3 linked regions of the Canis lupus familiaris genome follow. The protein of the gene in region 2 interacts with the protein of the main gene of each other region in a pairwise test. Links are inferred from orthologs where the notes say so. Each region holds a gene or a part of one and is shown on either strand. Other genes may lie near its edges.

The links.
Region 1: the proteins of THAP1 (region 2) and tripartite motif-containing protein 26 interact in binary tests that used the Homo sapiens proteins (3 or more experiments, as listed by UniProt). The two-hybrid records come from large-scale screens. The link is inferred for Canis lupus familiaris from reciprocal best matches to the Homo sapiens genes THAP1 and TRIM26.
Region 3: the proteins of THAP1 (region 2) and GPATCH2L interact in binary tests that used the Homo sapiens proteins (3 or more experiments, as listed by UniProt). The two-hybrid records come from large-scale screens. The link is inferred for Canis lupus familiaris from reciprocal best matches to the Homo sapiens genes THAP1 and GPATCH2L.

Annotation. Positions count from the first base shown.
Region 1 is NC_049256.1:27,898,509-27,902,880, forward strand, and holds the start of tripartite motif-containing protein 26, read right to left. Parts: upstream 2,942-4,372; 5' UTR 2,697-2,941; intron 2,564-2,696; exon of another isoform or gene 2,381-2,563; intron 1,707-2,380; exon of another isoform or gene 1,559-1,706; intron 1-1,558. Other genes in the region: U1 small nuclear ribonucleoprotein C, read right to left, coding at 3,353-3,832.
Region 2 is NC_049237.1:23,681,854-23,685,498, reverse strand, and holds part of THAP1 (THAP domain-containing protein 1), read right to left. Parts: intron 1,421-3,645; coding exon 1,046-1,420; 3' UTR 1-1,045. UniProt on the Homo sapiens protein: DNA-binding transcription regulator that regulates endothelial cell proliferation and G1/S cell-cycle progression.
Region 3 is NC_049229.1:49,414,723-49,418,872, forward strand, and holds the start of GPATCH2L (G patch domain-containing protein 2-like), read left to right. Parts: upstream 1-1,209; 5' UTR 1,210-1,330; intron 1,331-1,497; exon of another isoform or gene 1,498-1,514; intron 1,515-1,769; exon of another isoform or gene 1,770-1,981; intron 1,982-3,740; 5' UTR 3,741-3,750; coding exon 3,751-4,150.

The DNA of each region.
Region 1 (4,372 bases), on a different chromosome or scaffold from region 2:
TCAACATTTCATGCCTACCAGTCTGGCGAGTTGTACTTCCTCCTGGATAACAATCAAATTAAGCCTTTACTTTCCAAAGCCATTGTCTTCCTGTTCTGATCCCCAGGTCTAAGTCTGAAGTCTCCTCAGAAAACTGTTTGGACTCTGGACTTCCGCTGTGGTTTGCAATGTTTTCTGGGGTGACCAGCCCTCATCTGAGACCAGCCCATTGCTCCCATGTAGGAAACTGACATGTAAGAAGTCATCCAGTGCTCCTGGGCCTCAGTGTCCTTACCCCTTAAGGACAGAAATAACTATATCTTGTCAGGCTCATCACACTGTGTGAGGTTCATGTGAAGCCCCACAAGTGCTTTCAACAGCAAAGAGCTCTACAGACACTCATGCTAGGAAGAAATGGAGCCAACATGTAAGAGCTTCCAATCATCAAGGCTACAACTTGAGCAATGAGCAACAGCATAGAGTAATATTGGATTATCACCCAAAGTATCACATCAATACCCACGAGTATGTGCTGATAATAAAGGGCTGAATAAGTCAATCAATAAAGGACAAGAGAGACTAATCTCCATGCAAAGAATTCCAAATAATAAACATAAAAACTTGTCCTCAAGGAGAATCTAGCCCTCCTTGGGTGTGGGTTTCACAGGCACTTCTCTCCAAAGGGTAGGCATGAAAACGGGGGGTGGGGGGGGGGGGACAGAGTAACTTTACAGTGGAGACACCTGGCAAGCACTACATCAGGTGACCACCACCAGTGTCCAGTCACAGGCCGTGCTGACAGTATGTACCCTTGCTGCCATGCCAGGAGCAGGGCCACCTACCTGGGGTGGGCTTAGGAGAAGAACATCCAGGACAGAGGCATCTCACAGCCCGCATGACCAGCATTCCTCCAAACTCTCAGGATCCCCCAGAACAAGCCTCAGCGGATGAAGTGCCAAGCCAAGGGGACCATAGGAGGGCATGCTGACCCCATGGAACCTGGTAACCTGGCCGGGATCCTGACACGGAACCAGTGCCTAGCTGAAAACTCGGTGAATCCCAACAACTATCGGCAATAGTCACACAACAGCAGGGGTTCGTTAGCTGTGACAGATGTCTGAAGTAAGGTAACGTGTAATACGGGATAAGGGGCTTGGGGAACTCTACTGTCCTCGCAATTCTGTCCGTAAACCCGAAGTAGAAACAGTCTACTCAGAAGGATCGCGGCACAAGACCCAGGCAGCCCGTTCTGAAGACGGTGCGGGGAGCGCACCCGGGGCTCGGCATGCAGCCCCTACAAGGCCGGGCCGCGCCACGGGTTCCGGGAGGACCCTGGCCATCGGGGGTCACGGCCGGGGGCAGTGGGGCTCTGCAGGGTGCGCCTCCCGCGCGCTGCTCGGCCCCAGGCAGGAGGGCGCCCCCGGTACTACGCGCCCCAGCCCTGCTCGCCCCCTGAGCACGGCGGACACCTGCCGGCGCTCCGGGCGGGAAGGTCAGGGCGGGGAAGCCAGGGCGGGGAAGCCAGGGCGGGCGCCCAGAACCCCAGCGCCCCGCCCCGGCCCCCGGCCCCGCGACTCACCGCACTGCCCGCTCTGGGCCGCGAGCTCCCGGCCGGGGGCGCTGCTCCCCCGCGGCAGCCAGCTGGGGTCGCGTCCCCTCGGCTCTGCCTCCCGGCTCCCCGAGGTCCGCTCCGAGATTTCTCCCGGATCCGCGTCCCGATTGGCCGAGTCCGCACGCCACCGCCCAATGGCAGCTCGAGACGGGCACTACGTCACCGATCACCAGGCAAATCCGCGGGCCTCCGCAGGGGGCGGGGCGGCCGGGGCCGAACGGACGAATCCGCGGGCGGGCGGGCGGGGCGCGCTCCCGCGAAGGCCTAGTTGGGCCCCGGGGCCAGACCCCCAGGCTGGCGCCCCCGGCCCCCCCCGGCCCGCCCCCTGCCTGGATGGGTCCGGGTGGGCGGGGGCCTGCGGCCGACGGGGGCGCGCCAGAGGCTCCGCATGAAGTAGGGCTCCCTGCCCCCAACGTGGCCTCATTTTGCTTCCTGAACCCGGAAGGTCTTTCGCAAGCACGTACTCGCGGAGAGGGGGGTATTTGCAAAAACTCACGACCGTTTCCGAAGCGCCTGCGATGGCCGAGGAGCTTTCCCTAAAACACCCCGAAACAGGGCAGCACTATTGTGCCCATTGCACAGAAAGGAAAGCAGAGGTTGCAAGAGCTGGGCCCCACGCGCTGCGGCTCTCTCCCTCCTCGTGGCCGCACTGGGGCACTCGGGTCCCCCACCGTTGCCGTGGGGGTCTCCGGCGACCCGGCGCATCCCGGCCGCCATCCTCAGACCAGGCGCTCCCAGGCCGCGCGGGGTCGGAAGCCCGTGGGGCGGGGCTGGGCGCCAGACACTCACCTGCTCCGGGCCCTCGGGGTGGTCGGGGGTCCAGGTGCGGCGGGGGCCAGAGAGCGGGTTCGGGGTCTCGAGCCCTAGAACCCGCCGGGCCCCCGCCCCTCCTGCGGGGTGGGGCAGGAATTCGAAGCGAAAGCAGTGGCTTCAAGGGTGCAGTGGAGAGGGTGGGGCGTGCCACCGCCTTCCGCCTACACTTCGGCCGGCGTCCTCGTCCCCGCCCCCGCCCCCACCCCCGCCTCCACCGCCCCGCCTCACCCCCAACCCCGCCCGGCTTCTCTCCCTTGCTTCCAACTCTGCGGAGGAGGGGTGGGGACCTCACCTACGGACTCGACGCCGGCGGTCTGAGCACCTGCTCTTTTACTTGTTGGTATGGAAGCAAGCGTGTGATTCCCAGCCTGCGGATCTGATCTCTCCCTTCCCTGGAGGGTGCTTGCCCCATTCTGAGGCCATGCTGTACGTCCTGCAGCAGTCCAGGGCCTTGGCCTTGCTATCTCCCTAGCCCAGGCAGAGGCACACCAGGGCCCTGCTTATCTCTGTGAGCCACTTCTCCCTCCCCCTCGGCCTCAACCCCTCGGCCACGGAACACTGGGTCCCAGCTCCTTACTGGCTGCCCATTGGTCACTCTCCTCAACTGGCATCTAGATGCATCTTCCTATGCCACTGTAAATCAGCTCCCCATCAGGCATCGTTCCCTTTCACTTTATTCATGCATGTGCCAAGGTTTTATTTTTTTTTTTTTTTTTTTTTTTTTTTAACTAAAACAGTTGACAATTTTATTTTCACATTTCACAATACAAATGAAAATTGCCTTTTTTTTTGTCTCACTACTCCCCTGCAAAAACTATTCTCAATAGGAAGGGGAAGCAAGTCTTCCTTGTCATGCTGTTAGAAAACACCCAGAGTCACAGCACCATGATCTCCTGGTGAAGTAGAACAAGTAATATAAAATGAATATAAAGAGGTTCCTGTCTCTCCTTATCTGTCTGGTCGAGTCATTCCTGGCCGAGTGGGCACCATCATGGGACGAGCAGGAGGTCTCATCATTGGGGGCCCAGGCATCATTGGCATATGGCCTCCCATAGGTGGCCTCATTCCAGGAGCAGGTCCCACTGGCATCATCCCAGGAGGAGGAGGGCCCATCATTGGCATCATGGGAGGGCCCCCCATATGGGGGGCTGGCATCATACCAGGGCGAGGAGGACCCGGGAGACTGGGGGGAGGTGGGATCATTGCCCCTGCAGGAGGAGGAGCAGAGAATGGAGTAGGAGGTATCTTTCCTTGTTGAAATGCAGCAGTTGTTTTGTCGATCAGGCTCTGAGCCTGCTCTTCCATCCATTTCTGATAGTAGTCTTTCACATTCTCTTTGTGTTTCCTACCACTGCAGTGTGTCTTTCTCACAGATGGAGAGTCATGGGTGAGGTATGTGTCGCAGTAGTCACAATAAAACTTAGGCATGTTGCTCTGCAGGCCGTTGGCCACTCCGTCCCGCGCCGCCCGGAAATGACTGTGCCAAGGTTTTATATAACCCCAGTGCTCCTCCCATCGTGCCCTCCTTCATGTCCATCCCCCAGTGACCCATCTCCTGACCCCCTCCCTTACAACGACCTTCAGTTTGTTTCCTGTGATTAAGACTCTTTTAAGGTTTGTCTCCCTCTCTGATTTTATCTTATTTCATTTTTCCCTCCTTTTTCTATGATCCTGTTTTGTTTCTTATTTTCCAAATATGAGTGAAACCATATGATAGTTGTCTTTCTTCAACTGACTTATTTCATTCAGTATCATATCCTCCAGTTCCATTCATGTCCATGTAAATGGTAGGTATTCATCCTTTCTGATACCTGAGTAATATCCGTTGTATATATACCACATCTTTTTCCATTCATCTGTCAAAGGACCTTGTGGCTGCTTGCAGTTTGGCTATTATGGACATGGCTGCTATGAACGTTGCAGGTGCACCTTCAGATCATAATCACAAAATGGTGAGCCAGAGCTTGC
Region 2 (3,645 bases):
TTGAACAGAAACTTCAGTGTTTAAATCTCAACGTTCAATAACAAACACTACATATTAGGTTGCTTTGGAATACAAATCACTCGGTTAAATAAATGGGATATAATTTCTAACTTGTGTTAAAAGTGAAGAAATCCTTTTTTATGTGAAGATGTGACCAAAATCAATTGGTCATATTACAGTAGAAATCAAACTCTACTGACACAACACATTTGTTAGAGATTTGTATACAGATATAACAACAGTTGGGAACTAGATGCTCCTTAAGCTTGGGGGTAATGAAAGAAAAAGGCATACTATGGATCAGGCCCCCATTTTTATTACTTGTTTAATAACAATGCCTACTTTATTGAAGAATGTCTCTTCCACTGGAAATACACTTCTGGTTTAATAATGTTAGTGGGGAAAAAAGGCAGACCCACTTTTAAAGAATGATTCATCCTTATTTACCTACATTGACTAGGTATAGAATGACTCTTCATTTTCTGCTCTGAAGATAACCAATTTATTTTTTGAAGTTTTGACTTGTCAACTTATTTTTGATAAGTGATTAAGAAAGATAAATCTTCTGACTTTACAAATAAGAATATGTGAATAAGAATATATATATTTTCTGAGAAGTTACATCTCGTGATCTGACCTATACTTCTGACTTACAATGTAACTAAATTCCTTTAATAACCTGCATTAATTTTAAATTTTAAACTTAAATTGTCCTTGTTATACTGTTCACATTCACTTTATTTCTCATTTTTACATTTCTATAAATACCCAAAAAACAAAACTCCTCAATTTGAAACCAACTTATATTGGAGTTCTGAGGTTAGTCTTTAACTTTTAAGATATTTTGTTAAAATGTAAAAACCCTGAAATTAGAAACAAAAATTTTACAATTTTACAGTATATATCTAATTTATTTAAAAAAATATTCTGAATTGTTTTTATACAAGTAATCAAGTGTTATTTTTTCAAATGAAACTCCTTTATAGGCTAGAAGAGGATGTGTGGTGTTGCCCCATTAAAAGCCAATACAAATATCTTTTTTTTTTTATGCTGGCACTTCAACTATTTCAAAATAGTCATTCGGCAAAATCACATAACCTCTTTCTGATATGTCGTCCTTCTCTTTCTGGAAGTGAACAACCTCCTTTAATTTTTCAAGCTGTCGTTCTTGTCTTCTGCATCTCTGCTGTGCAGTCTTGAGCTTCTTTCGGAGTTTTTCAACTTGTTGTTCTAGCTGATGAATCCTTTTTCTCTGGTGCATTGTATCCTCCACAGTATAGTTGTGGTCACAGAAAACTGAGAGATTATCAGGGGTCTGAAGAGGAGGCATTAGTAATCCAATAGCAGCATCAACCTGGGAAATGGGAGGTGTTAAAGGAGGTGGGGGAAGCTGTTCTTGTGGCTCCAGAAGATCTTCCTTCTACAACAATAATGCAAAGTAGGTTCAAGTTTAGTAACTACAAATAACAATTTAAAAGAACCCCTGTGGAATTTAAGAATGACATTTTTATAAGTTGGACAACCTAGAAGAAAAGGTTAAATTTTTAGAAACACACACTCTTCCAAAACAGGAAGAAATAGAAAGTATAAATAAACCAATCACTAGTAATGAAATTGAAAAGGTAATCAAAAAAGTCCAGGACCAGATGGTGATTCTATCAAACACTTAAAGAGTTAATACCTATTCTCCTCAAAATATTCTAAAAGACAGAAGAGAAAGGAAAGCTTCCAAATACATTCTGTTAGGTGAACAATACCCTAATACCAAAAACAAAGACACTGAAGAAAACTACAGGCCAAAATCCCTGATGAACAAAGATGCAAAAATCCTCAACAAAAATACAGGCATATTTGACAATACATTAAACACTCAACAATACACTAAAAGGATCATTCACCACTATCAGGTGGGATTTATTCCAGGGATGCAAGGATGGTTCAATATTCATAAATCAATATGAAACACTACATTAACAAAGGGTAAAAATCACACGATCATCTCAATAAATGCAGAAAAAGCATTTGACAAAATTCAACATCCTTTCAATGACAAAGTCTCAAAAAAGCTGGCTTAGAGGGAAAATACCTCAAAATAATAAAGGCCATATATGAAAAACCCACAGCTAACATTACACTCAGTAGTGAAAACTGAGAGTTTTTCCTCTAAGATCAAAAGCAAGACAAGATGTCCACTCTTGCTATTTTCATTCAACATAGTACTGTAAGTCCGAGCCATAGCAGTCAGACAAGAAAAAGAAATAAAAGGCATCCAAATTGGTAAGAAAGAAGTAAAACTATCACTATTTGCAGATGACATGATACTATACAAAGAAAATGCTAAAGACTGCAACAAAAAACTATTAGAGGTAATAAGTAAAGTTGCAGGATACAAAATTAATATATGGAAATCAGTTGTGTTTCTATACACTAATAATGAAGTAGCAGGAAGAGAAATTAAGAAAATAATTCCATTTATAATTACACCAAAAAGAATGAAACACCTAGGAATAAATTTAACTGAGGTGAAAGACCTATGCTCTAAAAACTACAGAACACTGATGAAACAAATTGAAGATGACACAAATAAATGGAAAGATATATCATTTTTATGGACTGGAAGAATTAACATTGTTAAAATGTCCATACTACCCAAAGCAATCTATAGGCTCAATGCAATCCCTATGAAAATACCAACAACATTTTTCACAGAACTAGAACAAATAATGTTAAAATTTTGTACAGAACCCACAAAAGACTCCAAACAGCCAAAGCACACTTGAGAAACAACAAAGCGGGAGGTATCATAATCCCAATTTTGAGATATACTACAAAGCTGTAGTAATCAAAAGTGGCACAAAAACAAGACACATAGGTCCATGGAATAGAACAGAAAGCCCAGAAATAAACCCATGCTTATATGGTTAATTAATTAATCTACAACAGAGGAAATAAGAATATCTATTAGGTAAAAGACTCTTCAATAAATGGTGCTGGAGAAACTGTACAGTTACATGAAAAAAAAAAAAAGAAACTGGACTTTTTTTTTTTACACCATATACAACACTAAACTCAAAATGGATTAAAAACTTAAATGGGAGGGACGCCAGGGTAGCTCAGCAGTTGAGCATCTGCCTTTGGCTCAGGGCGTGATCCTGGGATCAAGTCCTACATCAGGCTCCTTGCATGGAGCCTGCCTCTCTCGCTATGTCTCTCATGAATAAATGAAATCTTAAAAAAACAAAACAAAACAAAACAAAAAAACACCAACAAAAACTTAACTGGGAGACCTGAGACCATAAATATCCTAAAAGAAAACATAGTAATTTCTCTGACATCAGCCTTAGAGACATTCTTCTAGATGTGTCTTCTCAGGCAAGGAAAACAAAAGCAAAATAAACAATTGGTACTATACCAAAACAAAAAGCTTTTGCACTGTGCAGGAAACCATCAACAAAATTATAATGCAACCTAGTGCTGGGGTGCCTGGGTGGCTTAGTCAGATAAGTGTCCCACTTTTGATTTTGGCTTAGGTCATGATCTCAAGGCTATGAAGGGGGGCCACATGGGGGGCTCTGTGCTCAGCAGGGGGTGTGCTTGAGATACTCTCTCCTCCTCTGACCTTCCCCCCAGTGCTCCCTCTAAAAT
Region 3 (4,150 bases), on a different chromosome or scaffold from region 2:
GTATGTGCATTTTAAAAAAATGACCTTATTTTAGACTAGTTTTAGGTATGCAGAAAAATTACAAAGGTGCTACTACAGACCATTCCTGTCTACATCATACCCAGTTTCCCCTATTATTAACATCTTACATTGATATAGAACATTTGTCACAATTAATGAACCAACACTGAGATAATATTATTAACTGAAGTCCATTGTTCATCCAAGTTTCCTTAGTTTTTACCCAATGTCCTTTTCCTGTTCCAGTCTCCCATCTAGGATACCACACTACATTTAGCTGTCACATTTCCTTAGGCTCCTGTTGGCTATGACAACTTCTCAGACTTTGCTTGACTTTTTTCCTTTAACAATTTTGAGGAATATTGGTCAAGCATTCTGTACAATGTCCCCCAGTTGGAGTTGTTGGATTTTTTTTTTCTCTTGATTAGAGTGGGCGTACTGGAAGGAAAGTATCTTAGACATAAAATGCCACTTCCATCATGTCATATCCAGCCTACATAGGGTCCACATGATTTATCACTGTTCATGTTAACCTTGGTCACCTGGCTGAGGTAGTGCTTGTCTAATTTCTCCACCATACTCATTTCCCCACCTTCCATACACACAGCCCACATTCAAGGAGCTGGGAGTTATACTTCAGGGTGAATTATCTACATAAATTCTTCACAATTCTTCTGCACCAGAGATTTATCCCCCTTCCCCATTTATTACTTTGTTCATGTCAGTATTCATCTCATTAGTTTACTCATGTCAGTACAGACTCATGGGTATCAATTGTATACTTAAGATTTATAATCCAATAGTACCTGCCTTGTTGCTCGAGGCATTTGTACCTGTAAGACTGATTCACTGCAAAGGTACCGGCTTATAGTTGGACCCACTCTCACAGTTAAGAATGAGGATGCATTTCTCAATTTCACACACCCTTTGTAAAAGTAGGTCAGCAAACAAGGGCGAGGCCGTGGTCCCTCCCTACTGCCCAATGTCTTGACGTCCCCAAGGCAGGTGAGGCCAGCCTGGGGAGGGCTGATCTGCCCCAGGCGCGGACCTCGCCCCTTAGCGCGCCCGCCCGCCCGGAACCACCGCCCCTTGAGGCCCCCAGCCCCCGCTCCCGGCGTCTCCAAGGCCCCGCCCACCGCGGGGCGGAAGTGGGCGCGGCCACGGACCGGAAGCGCCGGGCGGGGGCGGGCCCTCTAGAGCAGCCAGCCCCTCCCACTCCACCGCTGCCCCACCCCTCCGGCCCAGACCGGAAATGAGGTCAGAAAGGGAAACCCCGGCGGGGAGACTCGGCCCCAAAAGCGGCGGCCATTGGAGGTGGCTGCGGCAGCTGGTGAGGGGGCGGAGTGGGTCGAGAGGGTCGGGGTCCAGGGGGCCGGCGCCAGCGGGGATCGGGGCTCCGGGCGGAGGCCGGGGCGGGGGCCGTGGCCGCCGCGGGGCTCCGGAGGTTGGCGGGAGGGGCGGGGGTGGCTGGGCCTTGTTTTCCAGGGCCCATCGCCCCCATCCCGGGGAGTGAGGTTCGGGCGTCTCCGGGGCGGCAGTCCCCTCTTCTCCTTTATTCTTTCTGGCTCTTTTGGGCAGGCCGACAGGGTGTGAGCTCCGTGTCCCAAGCCGCGTTCGCTTTCGTCTTCGGGGGCGGGCCGGGGCGTGGGGGGGGGGGGTCCTTCCAACCCAGCTCTTCCTCACATATGTGGCCATGTTGCGACCCTGGGTCACGGAGGGAGCGTAGTCGCCACCACTTGCTTTTTTTTTTTTTTTTTTTTTTTTGGCAGTTTGTGCCGGAGAAGGGCCGACCCCCCTGCCCGGGTGAGCCCAAATGAGAAGTTGCTTCCTGCCGCCCCCCGGCCTTCGCCGCGACCGTGCGCCTGCCTCTTTTTACTCCTCTCCGTCTCCCGGCCTTGTGTTTGCGTGACTTAGCCTTTCCTCTCCTCGAGAGCTAGCTGGACAAGGGGGTCGTCTTGGAGCGCGCACCTGAGGACTGAAGGTGTGCGAAGCTCAGGGTAGTGTCCCCAGCTCTTGGAATTGCAGCCCTTCGGCTAGGAAGGGATTTTTGCTCAAACAGCTGCAAGTTCTGTAACTTTGTTCCACGTTAAAGTGTACAGTTCTTTTTTTTTTTTTAAGATTTTTATTTATTTATTCATGAAAGGCACAGAGAGAGACAGAGGCAGAGACACAGGCCGAGGGAGAAGCAGGCTCCATGCAGGGAGCCCGACGTGGGACTCGATCCCGGGTCCCCAGGATCACGCCCTGGGCTGAAGGTGGTGCTAAACCACTGAGCCAACCCAGGGGTCCCCCAAAGCGTACAGTTCTGCCCCATTTTTTAAAGCATTATTTCTTTATTAAGGAAGTAGGTTTGGATGTGCCGTCCCCACATCTGTTTTGGTTTCAGGGGTAGTTGTCTCCCAAACCCCATTCAGGGCGTTTTAGGCTGACTTTGTATTGAGTAAAGGGACAGTGGTCATTTTGTGTTGTGTGGCTTTTGACACGATGAGACGTTTTGTGTGGTTGGTAGTTTTGGAACTAGGTGTCCCCACGGCTCCCGTCCATGTGGCAGATAAGCCAGCCCACCAGTTTTTCTTGCCTTTGAATTCGTTGGCATGGGGACAGCGAGAAAATAGGTTTTAGAAAGCCCTTTGCAGAATGTAAGCTGCATGAACGGAAATAGGGCCTCCGAGTGGCGCCACACAGTTTTAAATTCTAGTTATGGACTTGAAATACTCTAGGCTTCACAAGGGCTAGGGAAGAGGTGTTAATTTAATACGTATTTAATAAGGTGTTGTACAAATTATATTGGACATTTCCCTCTTAAAGGGCGTTTTGAAAATTGCTCCTACTGCCCGCATCCCTTGGAAGGTTTGCCTCTGAAGTGACCCCTGATGTATGACGGTTTGACAAGAATGAATGCAAAAATAGAATTTAGAAAGCAGTTAGCTAGAAATTTTAGGGACTCCATCAATCCCTGTCATTTCAGCCTTAGCTATATCCTCTTTTTGTGTGATTGATACTAAAGCACATAATTAGGATGATCACTTAATTTTCTGAAGGTTGGGAGAAGAACTTAGAAGTTGCTAATTGTTAAAAAATATACAATATATCCGATAAATTTCCTTTACTCCTAGCTTCCAGGTGGTAGTTGGGACCAGAATAGATACAGACTTAGTCTCTTTTTTCCATTCAGAATACAAATCTGGGTTACTACAATTTCTTGGATCACTAAAACTGCAAGCAGTGATCCTTAAAGTGTGTTACTAAGTTGTCTTTCTCCTCTCTTTAGCAGCATTCTTATCAGGGACCCCAGACCATGGAGCAGTTCTTTAACCATGATTTTAAAGTTGTGTGTTTTTCTGTTCCTGTCTAATGAGACTTTCTCTAATCTTTTTGGATTTTATCATCAGATATTTTAGTGACAAATTTAATTGGGGAAAAAGGGAAGGGGCGATTTATTTCCCAAGGTTTGCTTGTTTTTGCTAGTATTTTACTTGTGATCTGGTGAGAGTTTGCTTTCTTGTGCTTTAAGAACATATTGACTTGAGGTTCCTAACAAGGGCCAAACACCTATTTTTAGTGGCTTAAGGGAGCAAGGATGGTAGGAACAATCTTAAGTGTAGCCAGTTGAAAGGTGATTTTATTTTCTGTAAGTCAGGTAGGCTCTGCAGTCTTGTGATGTATTTTATAAACTTACCTTAAAACAACAGATCCTATTCAGGTTTTCTTTTTCTTTTTCTGAACTTTTCTTTGGGCAGATGTGGCCTCATGGATGAGCTGGTACATGACTTAGCCTCAGCATTGGAGCAGACATCTGAGCAGAATAAGCTTGGTGAGCTGTGGGAGGAGATGGCTCTGAGCCCTCGGCAGCAGAGGCGGCAGCTTCGCAAAAGGAGAGGCCGGAAGCGCCGTTCAGACTTCACTCACCTGGCAGAGCATACCTGCTGCTACAGTGAGGCCTCTGAGTCAAGTCTCGATGAGGCCATTAAGGACTGTCGAGAATTGGCCCCTGTTGCCAATTTTAGTGACTCTGATGACACAATGGTAGCCAAACGGCACCCAGCTCTCAATGCCATTGTGAAGAGTAAGCAACACTCTTGGCATGAATCTGACTCCTTTACCGAAAATGCACCATGTCGACCACTCCGGCGCCGGAGGAAGGTGAAGC